Rattus norvegicus: one gene and its partners. The protein of the gene in region 3 interacts with the protein of the main gene of each other region in a pairwise test. Links are inferred from orthologs where the notes say so. Each region holds a gene or a part of one and is shown on either strand. Other genes may lie near its edges.

Region 1 (4,204 bases), on a different chromosome or scaffold from region 3:
TTTCTGTACCCAGGCATTTTCTATATTAATGAGTGTTCAGTCTTTACCCTATGGTGTGCAGAAGGGGCTTTGGTGTCATTTCTGACCTCCAGGAAAGTAAGAAACCCCAGGTCAGCCTTAAGGACAGTGTGTGTGTGTGTGTGTGTGTGTGTGTGTGTGTGTGTGTGTGTGTGTGTGTGTGGCCCAGCCTTCGGATGCCTCTCAGTTTCACTGAGAGACACGGGCACATTCCCAAAGCACAGTTGTGGGTATATCCAGGAGGTGCTTTGGAGAGCACCACCCGTGTGAACAAGGGCACTGGGTGAGGAAGACACGAGGTGAATAAGGCTGCACCATCCACAGGCAGGGGACGAGAAGCCAGGAAGAGGGAAGTCCTTAACTGCAGGTGACCTGGACAACTCAGCCTCAGCCACAAAGGCCTCCCAGGCTCCATCTTCAGTCAGCAGCAGCTTCAGGTCGTCCCTGCCCGACGTGTGCTGCAGATACTCAGTGGCTTCCTCAATGAAGGTTCTGCTTGCTGGGTGGAGAGGAGAGGAGGTAGAAGGACAAATGGAGGAGCTTGAGTAACGCTAAGCATTGAGCCGGCTTCCCAGGCTGCCCTAGTCCCACCCGAGGAGGTGGGATTAGGAAGGAGGTGAGTCCCGCTGTACTCCCCAAGGACAGGGCCAGACACAGACCTCCCCTGTGGAGAGCTGGTGTTGGGAGAACACCTATAATGCCCCCTTGGGTCACCCCTGTGCTGTCCTCAATTTCTCTACACTCGGTATGGAGGTCCAGGCCACTGCAAGAAGAAGCCAGGGGAATATAAATAACTACCTGGAGAGTCCTCGCCATCTGAAGGGTCCATGGTGTCAAATGCAGGATCTCTGCCCCAAGCTGCAAGGAGGAGAAAACAAACTGCAACAGAGGGGGATCAGCTACAGAGAAGGCAAACACCTAAGCCCTGTAGCCCACTGTTCCCTCCACAGTGTCTGCCGTGGACCAGACATTACCCAAAGTGTTTCTCTTCCCTGTCGTCTGCAGACACCTGCTTGTCATCTAACTGTCCATCCCAAATCTGCCATTCCAGCCCAGGCAAAGGCACCTGTCCCATTGGGATCAGCTGATGATGCAGCTGTGGGAAGTAACTAACTTTGTATACAGAAGGCAAGAAGAGGGGGAATGCTCTGGCAGCCCTCTGAGGGTAGGAACACATGGGAACTAATGATAAGAACTGGTGTTTACAAGGCTAGCTAACACCCCCAGTCTGCATACCAGTGTTAGAGCCAGCATGTGAGCCCAAGCCGTTCTGAGGCGTGACCCCCTTGACTAAGCCTGGGTCCCTTAAACACTCCAGCAGGATATATCCTCCTGTTCCCGTGCAGTGTGCTGCTGATGCTTCCCATCAACAGCCACGCCTGTGCCCTCCAGGGGACAAGTTCACACTCCTTGCTTCTGCAGGATCCTGCATCTAACCAGGGCCTAGAAGCCTGCCACTCCCTGTCTCTGTTTTTGTACTTGCTCTGGGCTGCCCATCTACCATCCCTAACCATTGAACCTCAGGTCATAGCCATCCTTTATGTAAGTCACAGCACTAAGAACATTCTCCTTTAATAGAACTTTGCATTTCAGGTTACTTCCTCAAGAGGTCTGGTAAAATGGCACAGTAGGTGAGGGTGCTTGTGGCTAAGGCTGATGAGCAGAGTTCAATCCCAGACCCTTATAGTGGAAAGACAGAGTTCACTCTCACAAGTTGTCCTCTGGCTTACACACACATACACAAACACACACACACACACACACACACACACACACACACACACACACACACACACTTGAAAAATAAGTCTAGGCTGGTGTGGTGGCACATGCCTTTAATCCCAGCACTCTGGAAGCAGAGGCAAGTGGATCTCTAAATTTAAAGCCAGTCTGGTCAACATAACAAATTGGGGACCAGCCAGGGCTACACAGTAAGACTCTATTTCTAAAAACAAAAACAAAACAAATAAAAAAAGAGAAAAAGAAAGAAAGAAAAAATATTTTAAAAAATAAAAAGAAACTAGCTTACTTCCTAAGCAGAAAGCTAAAAGTAGTTCCATCCCACTGGTATGGTGGGTGTGGGCAATCAGTAAGAATTGTTTCTGGGGCTGGAGAGATGGCTCAGTGGTTAAGAGCACTGACTGCTCTTCCAGAGGTCCTGAGTTCAAATCCCAGCAACCACATGGTGGCTCACAACCATCTGTAATGGGATCCGATGCCCTCTTCTGGTGTATCTGAAGACAGCTACAGTGTACTTACATATAATAAATAAATCTTTAAAGAATTGGTTCTGGGGGTTGGGGATTTAGCTCAGCGGTAGAGCGCTTGCCTAGCAAGCGCAAGGCCCTGGGTTTGGTCCCCAGCTCCGAAAAAAAAAAAAGAAAAAAAAAAAAAGAATTGGTTCTGATGGTATTTTTCAGGCATAAAAAGGCCTGACAGAAACAGAGAGAGGCCTGCAAATGTCCCCCAAGTCACCAGATGAGATGAAGTGGCCTTTTCAAGTGCCTGTCCCTTTCCGACCTTCACTGCCATTTCCAATCCTGCCCAGCTCTGCATGCACACTTGGTACACCGAGGCACTCCATTACAGGGTTAACTACCACAGGGTTAACTTAACCAAGACTTGTCTGGCTCTCCCCACCTCTCTGGAGCTCTGGGAAGGCACCTACCAGCCGCCAGGACCAAGAACCCCAGTTCCTGCAAGAGCAACAAGGAGGAGAGTTTCTCAATGTCTTCTCAGAAGGTTCATCAATATTCTGTCCTTTCATAAGCAGATAAAATCTTCTTGCTCTGTTATTCTTGTCTTAGTGGTGACTACTCACTCCCCACCCCCAGGCAGAGAAGTTCATATGCAAAGAAAGCCCCCAGTCTCAATTCTTTGGCCCCTCAGTAAAGCCTTGCACTGACCTGGTCCCGTGCTGCTGTAGCCGGGTGCTAATATGGGCACAGTGGACCTCTTAACGCGGCTGTGACTCGGTTTATAGAAAGGCTGTTCCAGGAAGGACTACCCCGCCCTGCTTCTGGCCAGCTGTGCAGCCCTGATAGGAACCCTCTTCTTCCCAGCTGGAGCTCCAGCAATCAAGCAAAGCCCGACCCACCCCTTCTCAGGGCATCCTCAGGGTAGGGAGGGAGGAAGTGAAGACAGCTTGCTCCTTCTAAGGGGTCCCTGATGACCTTTCAGGGTCATGTTGAAGCCCCTCTAGCCAGAACTCCAGGCCTCAAGCCTGCTGCAGCCCCTCTGTCCTCCCTCCTTCCCTCCCAACCATCCAATTCTATCATACACCTTCAAGTGCATCCTGCCCCACTGACTGTGACACCTCCACGTCTTTGCTGTGACTGACCCTCTAGTGAGACTTTTCACACTCCACAGTGAGACACTTCTATTCTTCCTGACCCTTCATCTCCCCACAGTGGCTGTGGCACCTTCCTCCCACTGTAGAGACGCCAACCCCATCCCACAGGTGGGCAGTGGCCTTTGGGGTGTCAGCAGCACAAACGATGTGTCCATCAGTTGAAAACACAGGTTCTGGGGGTTGGGGATTTAGCTCAGTGGTAGAGCACTTGCCTAGCAAGCGCAAGGACCTGGGTTCGGTCCCGAGCTCCCAAAAAAAGAAAAAGAAAAAAGAAAGAAAGAAAGAAAGAAAGAAAGAAAGAAAGAAAGAAAGGAAGGAAGGAAGGAAGGAAGGAAGGAAGGAAGGAAGAAAGAAAGAAAGAAAGAAAGAAAGAAAGAAAGAAAGAAAGAAAGAAAGAAGGAAGAAGAAAGAAAGAAAGAAAACACAGGTTCCTGGTGGGCAGAGTGGAGATCAGTGCTGCCCCATTTACTCCGAGACTGAAGTACTAAGTGTGACCTTTAAAAGACACATTGGTGGCACAAACCTAGAACCCCAGCACTCAGGAAGCTTGGATGAAAAGGTTTAGAGCCAGACTGGACTATGTAGGGGAACTGGGATTTCTAGAGAGACACTGTCTCAAAAATAAAATAAAATAAAATAAAAATTAAAATAAAAAAAGGCTGTGAGTTAGTCTGCACCTCTGTGCACTCAGTCTCTCAAACCCATGGTCTACCCAGTGATCTTAGGATTACAGAGCTGGTATGGCTCTAGGGATAATGTTTGGCAATGTGTCCCTCTTAGTCCCCACACCTTATGTCCTTGCCTATCTGGACTCCCAGGACAGCTCCTGCTTTC
Region 2 (4,372 bases), on a different chromosome or scaffold from region 3:
CCTTTCAGTGGGCACAGGACCTGAGCCAGCACTGAGCTGGCAGTGCATGTGGGTGTCTGGCTAAACCTTCATAATAACCCACTGAAGAAAGTATTATCATTGTCCTTGCATAACAGCCCAGGGGCGTTAAGTTGCCCAGGGTAAGTAGGCAACCTGAGGGTAGAATGGACAGAGATACCAAGGGTCACATGTCTAACCCCTGTGCTAAACCAGACGCACAGAAAGCGTGAGGTCTGATGCCCCTGATGATTGGCTAAGGAGTACTAGCCCCTTGATGCTGCCAACTAAGCTTGTGTTCAAAGGAGAGAGGCCTGGGACTAAATGCACAAGTTCTGCCAGACGAATGACTCCAAGAACCATTTTAGGCTGAGTGTAGTCATGGACCTATTTAATCCCAGTACTCAGTAGGTAGAGTTCGAGGCCAGTCAGGTCTATAGAGTATCTAGCGGGACCTTGTCTAAAAAAATATTATTCTATTTCTGAACATGGTGTCAAATACTAGCACCTGGAAGGCAGAGGCAGGAGCATTGCTGCAACTTCAAGGCAGGTTATACAGCAAGACTACCTCAAAAAAAAAAAAAAGTTAATTCCATTCAGACATGGCGGCTCAGCTACATAGCGAGTTCCACATCAATCTGATCTACATGAGACCATGTCCCCCCAAAAGCAAACAAGCAAGCTAAATACTTTTTAGTTATTTACGGTGGGGCTAGAGAGATGGCTTAGCATTTAAGAGCACTTGCTGCTTTTCTTTTCTTTTTTTTTTTTTTTAAGATTTTATTTTATTGTATGAGTACACTGTAGCTGCCTTCAGACACACCAGAAGAGGGCATCAGATCTCATTACAGATGGTTGTGAGCCACCATGTGGTTGCTGGGATTTGAACTCAGGACCTCAGGAAGAGCAGTCGGTGCTCTTAACCACTGAGCCATCTCTCCAGCCCCACTTGCTGCTTTTCTAGAAGATCTTGGTTCCTAGCACCCACTTGGTAGCTCACAGCCACCCGAAATTCCAGTAGGAGGTGACCCAACACCCTCTTCTGGCCTCCACAGGCACTGCCGGCACAGGACACACACACGGACATGCAGGGAAAACACATTCATACACATGAATAAAATCTTTTAAAGCTTTTGGGGACCAGAGTCTGAATCCCTAGCAGCCACATGAAAGCCAGGCAGTCTGCTTGTAAGCCTGGGGCTCAGGGGCAGAAATGGGGGGGGGCTGATCCCGGGGACAAGTCAGCTAGTTAGACTAGACAAACTGGTGAGCTCCAGGTTGAACCAGAAACCATCTCCAAAAATAAAGTGGAGAACAGCTAAATAAGACACCTGACAGCAACCTCTGACTTCCATACATACCTACACATGTATGTGCCTACACATACCTAAACACATGTGTGCCCATACATACCTAAACACATATGTGCCCATACATGTGAACAAGCATGCCCACAGTATTTGCAAAAAAAGATGATTGCTGATTTCCATCCCCCCGTCACTGCTTTGTCCTACTCCAGGGGCACAAAAAAAAAAAAAAAAAAAAAACCCTGGATATTAATTTTAAAAAGTCCTTTTGACTGAATGAGTCCCAGGGAAGAGAAGGGAAGGGAAGGGAAGGGAAATTGGGGGTGGGGGTGGGTATAGATGGTAGTCAGAGGGGTGGGATGACGGAAGAAAGAGCTGGAGACAGAAAAGGGGACGGGGGTGGGGAGAAAAGATAGATGATAGAGCCGGAGACAGGCTGAAGGAATAAAGCATGCACCCCCCAGGCTCTGAACCCCCTTTGCCTGGAGTGTACCTATAGACATCCCAAGGGTCTCCTGAACAGCCAGATAAACGTAACCTGGCTCAGCCTTCTTTCCAGAACTTCTCCCCTAGAGCTTAAAGCCAGCTGATGGACCATCCCGTACCTCCTCCCATCTTGCCCGGCACTCTCGGAAGTGGGCTCTCAGCTCCAGCCATTCTCAGAGCTTCCCTCAGTTTCCTGGTGTGGCCTCAAAGCTCAGGGCTACCTTCCTGCCACACTTCCCTTTCCTGCCTCCAGTTCCCCAGAGATGAGGCCATCCAGGCATTGCCACCTCTAGCCAGGTCACATCCATTCAGTACTAAACTTGCTCCCAGTCTGGCGTCTTCCCAGGCGCCCTGGAAGGTGGGATCCAGGCACCAGTGGTCCCTGACACTTTTGGAAATGACAAGTCTGCAGCAAGAGTGTAGGTGACTCAACTCATGATTATGTTACTAGGCAGAGGTCAGGAAGAAGTCAGCCTGTGTCCCTCTAATAACTTCATGGAACTTTTATAGTAAACAACTTATTTTTTCTTTCCCCGGGGCAAGTGTTTATCCTTCAGCACCGGGCCTCTACCAGGCATGTGCTCAGGTTTCCAACCCTTGGGCCAGTTCTGGCTCCTCTTAGCCTGGGGAATTGCTGGAGAGGTCATCACATTACCTACCACTTCTCAGCAAAGGGTTCTGAGTGCCTGGCAGCAGCGACCATAAACATCTACTTTAACCTCTCAAGGACCCACCAAGGTAGGTATTGCTGCCCCTACTTCACTGCGCGGAAAAGGAGACTGGTGGAGGTTAAGTGACTTGCCCGGTATTGTCGGAGCTGATAACTGCTTCAGGAGCGTGAGAAGCTGCAGCTCCGCTCACTCCGCCCCGACGGGGCGCACTCTGGAGTCTCCCTCCCAGGCTGCCTGCAAAGTTGGGGACTGATTCTTGTGGTCAGCGTGACCCACGCCCCTGGAGTTCGGCTCTGGCTTTATGCCCCTGCACAATCGCCCTCTGCCCCTTCCCATCTCACCATCGCCTCCGCAGCTGCCGCCGCTGCCTGATCGCGGGCTCCGGCTCCTCTGCCTCGCGCTGCCTCAGTGCCCGCGGCCGCAGAGGAAGCGGCGGGGCGGGGCGGACCGGCGGTCCAAGAGGGAGGGGGGCGCGCCTTCTCAGAGGTGCCGGGCCCGGACAAACCGAAAGTAGTGACAGGGCCGGTGGGGCGCCTCCTACCGGGTCACCGGCGTCCGACTTCCGATGACACCCCAGCCCGGTTGGGGAACGATGTCTCTTGGATCTGGAGGGCTGCAACAGGAGTTCCGTCATTCCATCATGTGGAAAGCATTCGTGAGTGCTTGAGTGCTAAGTGCAGGAGATGACATGAACAAGCCAGGAGGAGTGTTTGCCACCTTGGTGAGTGCTGCTCACCCGAAATTAAAAGCACACCAACCACCCCAAAGTTCTGATTGTTTTCAGACAGAGCAGGTAGTACATTCTATGTCACCGAGTTATACACTTAAAAATGATAAGCTAGGGGCCAATGAGATGACTTAAGTCACGTGATGTCAAACCTAATGATTATAGAGTTCCGTCCCTAGGACTAACAGTGTGGAAAGAACCAACTCCTCAATTTGTCCTCTGATCTCCATACATTAGGGGATGGAGATTTTTTTCAGCGCTAAAATTGCTGCCGGCGTTTCTGTGAGCTAAAAGTCTCAATGGTGTGTGGATGGACAAGCCATTAAAGCTGTTGGGATGGACTCCAGCCCCAAATAAAAGGTGACAGCAGCAGCCAGGCCAAGCTTTGAACCAATCGAGGCAGAAGAGGCAAAGGAGGAGATTTGAGCCAGCTTCCAAAGTGGTACCCAAGCAGAGACCATTCCTTCTGTACGAGAATAAAATACAGACAACTACACAGGTGTCCCGAAGAGTTCCACAGTGAGTTTGGGAGAGAGTTGGAGAGCAAGCTGCTACAAGGGAAACAAACAGAGGTTGTCCAGCCTGAGAACACATACTTTCTCTTAGATTTCTGATGCCAGCCTTACTGGATGGTCCTCTAACATTCGAGGAAGATGGAGTTTTTGAATAAGAGATGCTGAGGATACTGCAGCTTTCCTTGCAGAACTGGGAACTGAGAAGTCCTTCCCTTAATCTCACTGGCCCATCCCAGCCTCCAGACAACTTCAAGGTTAAAATGAGGTTGTTTTTAAAGAATTGTGCAGAAGGTGCAATCAGAAAGTCTAAAGATCTATAAAGGATACACGGTGCTCTGAATCTCACAAAATGCTCACAGAGGGATATATTATACGATACTGTTTTATGTGCTTAATCAAAGACGAAAATGTGAGACTGCAGAAATGGCTCAGCAGTTAAGAGCCCTGGATGCTCCCCCAGAGGTCTGAGATTTAATTGCCAGCCCCCCCCCCCCATGTCAGCTCATTACAGCCTGTAACCCTAGCTCCAAGGGATCCGATGCCATGTTCTGGCCTCTGAGGACACCTGTCACACATGTGGTGCGCAGTCACACATGCAGGGGAAACACCTTTACACATAAAATAAGAGCAATTTAAAGAACAAGTAATTAAGACTGAAGTTTTTTTTTT
Region 3 (4,237 bases):
AGCACCTGTCGGGAAGGCACGAAGGGCTGAGAGCCCAGCCACAGTGCCCTGGGGAGTAACACCGAACCTATTCTGCCCACTGCAGAAGGTAGTATATGTCCTTAATGCCAATTAACTGTACACATAAAAGCACATATAATGGCGAATTTTACGCTACGTGTAGCATTATTATAATTTCTCCCTCTTCTTTCTAAGAGTAGATCTCTCTAGACCTGTTGCATCAGTCTCTCAAGGGCTGAGGCTGGGGCTGGGAAATCACACAGTGGTTAGCACAAACTGGAGGCTTACTAATGTCGCTTTGGCCTTGTACGTCAGGGCTTTACATGCAACATACACTTGATCCTTATGTGACTTTGGCAAGAAGGGTGTCATTATCATCCTTTATTAATACATAGATAAGTGATGTGACTCGGACTGAAGACAGGACTGGATGACTCTCTAGACAGAAGAGCAAGAGCCATTCCACCTTACCCACAGGGATGCAGCTGTCAGTGGGCCCGCTTACTGTCATTGCTTGCATCGGGATCATTAATGATAAAACTCTCAGGTCTAACTCCCCATGCAACAGTCTGGACAAGGCTGAGGCTGGCTAACCACAGAGCCTGGTGAAACCCCGCTTTGTGCCCGAGGGCATGGCTCACTTGATATCTTCTGATTCCGCACCATAGCAGCTCTCACAGCGATTGGGGTCCAGGGAGTCTGGGTCAAACACTGTCACCTCGACTTTCCCAAGCTCTAAGGGCAGGGCAGAGGCAAAAGTTCATCATGAAGCAGACACAGGGACATCCACAGCCACAGCTCCCTCCCTCCCACATGAGTCCCTGGGAAAAACCGAAGCTAATATCTGTACAACTATGACAGTCAGATGTTAAGCCCTTCACATAGACTCAGTATTAATTAGAAAACAGCGTAAATACTAAGTATCAGCTGGTACAGGTAACTCCAAGTTGTCTGATCTCATCCCCAGAAGACCCTGAAACTGGGTCTGAGCTGGAGTCGTGGCACACGCCCTCCGTCCCAGCACTGGAGAGACAGAGGTAGGAGGATTTGTGAGTCCCATGCCTGGTCTACAGAGTGGGTTCTAGGTCAGCCAGAGCCACGTAGTGAGATGGGCTGAGGGTAACAGACTGCAACTATGGGATAGGAATCGCAAGTGAGTAGCACTCCATACCAGGTCTTTTATAAAGGTTACATATGGGTTATGTCACTGACCATGTATTACTGATCCTCAACTCGGGATGAGGCTACTGTTGGTAAAATATCATGTTCTGATACTTTAGAACGCACTTAATACACCTAAGATACGGAACATTAGAGCTTAATGTACACTGCCTTAAATGTGCTCGGGATACTTAGCCGAGAGACCGCTGGGCAGGGCCATCTGCTGTGACTCTTTCCTAACGAAGGACTGGGGATCTCTAATAATCTACTGATACCTCTACTGAAAGCGAAGACCTGGACGGTGGGCCGGGCATGCTTTCAAACCATCGCAAAGTCAAAGCACCGTGAGCTGACATCTGTCTGCCCTGCATCCAACCCTTCAGCTTACGCATGGGTTGCTACTGCTTACCACCAGTTTATAGCTAATGCTCTTAAACCGCCAACAATGCCAGATCCGAACCCAGGCAATTCTCCTTGAGAACTTAAACTCTTCTGCACTGCAGTGGGGAAAAGTGCTCTAGCCAATGAGTTGAGCAAGTGAACACCTAACAGCTTTTTCCTAAGGAAGACCCATGCTCAAGCTTGAGAAATGTAACCAAGTAAAGCATTTTGCTCTTACCCACTGAGCCACCTCTCCAGCCCCTAAGGTCTTCTACTCCATGAAGCATGGATTCAACTGACTCTTGACTTTTAGTCAAGCTGTAGAACCCTAGGCAAGCCACCTGACTTCTGTCTGATGTGTCACTGGGCCTGCAACAGCCCGCTTCTGGAAGGCAGGGCAAGAATGTCCAGCTCTAGGGTTGGAGGCCTGTCCCCTCCTCCCTTGGTTACCATGCCGTTCAGCCTCTGAGCTCACGGGGATGCCATCCTTGTCCAGTCGTTTCTTGAACAGGTTGTGCTCCACATCCAGCTGCTGCTCCCCGGCCACATCCATGGCATCGATGCTCAAGTCTGTTAACAGAGGTAAGCTAACTATGACTCCAGGGCCCTGGAGAGCAGAGCTGTGATGGGAAAGATGTATCTCGAGGAAGAACTGGATTGGGGAATGAGGATGACCTAGCAACTACTACAGGATCTAAGGCCAGAGGTGTACATCCAGGGGTTCAACTCCCACTCACAATCAGGTACTCACAGGCACAAGGCATGTGTGGGAAAAGAACATCGATGTTGATCTTCAGTTTATCCCCCCGAGACTTGTCCACGTAGAGCTCAGGATGCACCTAGAGCGTGACTACCTCAGTCAGATTAGCCCTACTCCTCTCCTCCCCTCTCCCACCTTTAAGGGTCCTACCCTTAGAACGTCAAGCCCCGCCCACGTTCCAGGCCACGCCCCTCACCTCGGTGGTGAGATAATACTGCAACTCAGACAGGAACAGCAGGAGCATGAGAAGGCCACTCACGATGGTCACTGCGGAGCGAGAGCGAGATTTGGCATGGCCTGCATCCCACCCCTCAGCCCCTAACAGGCCAGGGAGAGTCCGGGAGCCCGGGCCAAAAGCGAGGACAGCTCCCTCCTTGCAACCCTGCCCGTGCCGAGACCTACCCGTGGCGCCCCCGCAGGTCTTGACCCGGAAGTCCTCCAGAGTCTTAGGGTAGGCATCGAACTGCTTCAGCTTCCCCAGCGCCTCCATGGGGACCGGCCGGAAAGGGGACACCAGCCGGCCCGCCCCTCCAGCCTCCCGCTTCCGGCCCGAAGTCGGGGTCACGCCCCTCGCTGTCTTGCGCAGGCGTAGCAGTGCGTAAGTGGGGCTCCACCCCTCACTTGCCTTCTCAAAGGCTATCAAGCCTGCGAACATTGTCACGCCCCCTGGCGCAGATTGGGCGGTGCTCCAAAGGGGGTGGGCCGGGAGCACAGAGGGCGGTGCTTGAGTGCGGAGTGACAGCACCTGTGGTAAGCGCTTCTCCTCGGACCTTTGGATCTCTTTGGACAGCGCTTCCAATATGACCCTGACGTAGGGTCACAGCATTGATTAGAATTGGCTCCAAACCGGGTTGGGCACACAGCTTTAATCTCAGCACTCAAATGCAAGTCTGTGAGTTCGAGTTCAGCCTGGGTTACAAAGAGTTTCCAAGACATCCAGGGCTGTTACACAAAGAAACCCTGTCTCGAAAAACTACATAAGAAAAAAAGAAAAAAGAAAAAAAAAAAAAAAAGGAATCCGTTCCAAGTAAATAATTGGTTCCCTCATCAGAAAATCCAAAAGTGACTCTGAGGTGCTTCCAATGGGGTTAAGGCATGAGAATCTCTGCAGGGGGAAGTGGGTATTAACTGGCTGGTGAGTTGGCTCAGCAGATGAAGGCACTTGCTGCCGATTTTGAGTTCTATACCCCGGACCTTTATGGTGGAAGAAAACTGATTCTTGCAAAATGACCTCTGACCTCCATATGAGTGCCATAGTATGCCCATAGCCACACTCACAAATATGTAAATATATTCTATAAATCGTTTTTAAAAGAGTGGGGATTAATTTTAATTTTTTTCAAGCTCAAACTGATCAATAGTGGAACCCAGTTCTGGACTTCAAGGTACCCTGGGTTTTTAACTCAAAAAGCTTCCCTGTGCTAATCCCAGTGTGGGTCAATAAAACTTGCACGGTTCGCTGACTCCACCCCTCCAGGCCAAGGCTGTAGAGATTCAGCAAACCCTTATTTGCTTTCTGCTGTAACCCACTGGCTCTAGATGGCTTAAGATAGCTGTGGTAACAAAAACAAAATGCTCAATGATTTTGTTTTGAGATAGTCTCTTTATGCTGCCCTGGCTGACTGGGAACTCCTAGACTCCTGCCTCAGCCTGTTAGCATCTCATGGTAGGCTTTTGTCTTGAAGATTTAATATTTATGTTTATGTATGTTTATCTACATGCATTTATATGTACCAGGTGATAGTGCAGGGCATTGGATCCCCTAAATCTGGACTTATGGGCAGTTGTGAGTCACCAAGTGTGTGTGCTGGGAACTGAACCAGGGTCCTCTGAGATAGCAGCAAGTACCTAACCATGCTGAGCTCTTTCCCCAGCCCTGAGGTATTGATGGAGAAATCTTGCTTTAGGTAATAAATCCACTTTAGGAATCTAGTT

Evidence for each region.
Region 1: the proteins of Ergic3 (region 3) and Apol2 interact in binary tests that used the Homo sapiens proteins (3 or more experiments, as listed by UniProt). The link is inferred for Rattus norvegicus from reciprocal best matches to the Homo sapiens genes ERGIC3 and APOL2.
Region 2: the proteins of Ergic3 (region 3) and Vamp5 interact in binary tests that used the Homo sapiens proteins (3 or more experiments, as listed by UniProt). The link is inferred for Rattus norvegicus from reciprocal best matches to the Homo sapiens genes ERGIC3 and VAMP5.

Annotation. Positions count from the first base shown.
Region 1 is NC_086025.1:111,216,178-111,220,381, forward strand, and holds the start of Apol2 (apolipoprotein L2), read right to left. Parts: upstream 2,919-4,204; 5' UTR 2,786-2,918; coding exon 2,659-2,785; exon of another isoform or gene 2,603-2,658; coding exon of another isoform or gene 2,539-2,602; intron 898-2,538; coding exon 817-897; intron 518-816; coding exon 391-517; intron 1-390.
Region 2 is NC_086022.1:105,990,330-105,994,701, forward strand, and holds the start of Vamp5 (vesicle-associated membrane protein 5), read right to left. Parts: upstream 2,919-4,372; 5' UTR 2,806-2,918; coding exon 2,803-2,805; intron 1-2,802. UniProt on the Homo sapiens protein: May participate in trafficking events that are associated with myogenesis, such as myoblast fusion and/or GLUT4 trafficking.
Region 3 is NC_086021.1:164,983,772-164,988,008, reverse strand, and holds the start of Ergic3 (endoplasmic reticulum-Golgi intermediate compartment protein 3), read right to left. Parts: upstream 2,839-4,237; 5' UTR 2,793-2,838; coding exon 2,705-2,792; intron 2,570-2,704; coding exon 2,499-2,569; intron 2,382-2,498; coding exon 2,294-2,381; intron 2,113-2,293; coding exon 1,993-2,112; intron 736-1,992; coding exon 642-735; intron 6-641; coding exon 1-5. UniProt on the Homo sapiens protein: Possible role in transport between endoplasmic reticulum and Golgi. Positively regulates trafficking of the secretory proteins SERPINA1/alpha1-antitrypsin and HP/haptoglobin.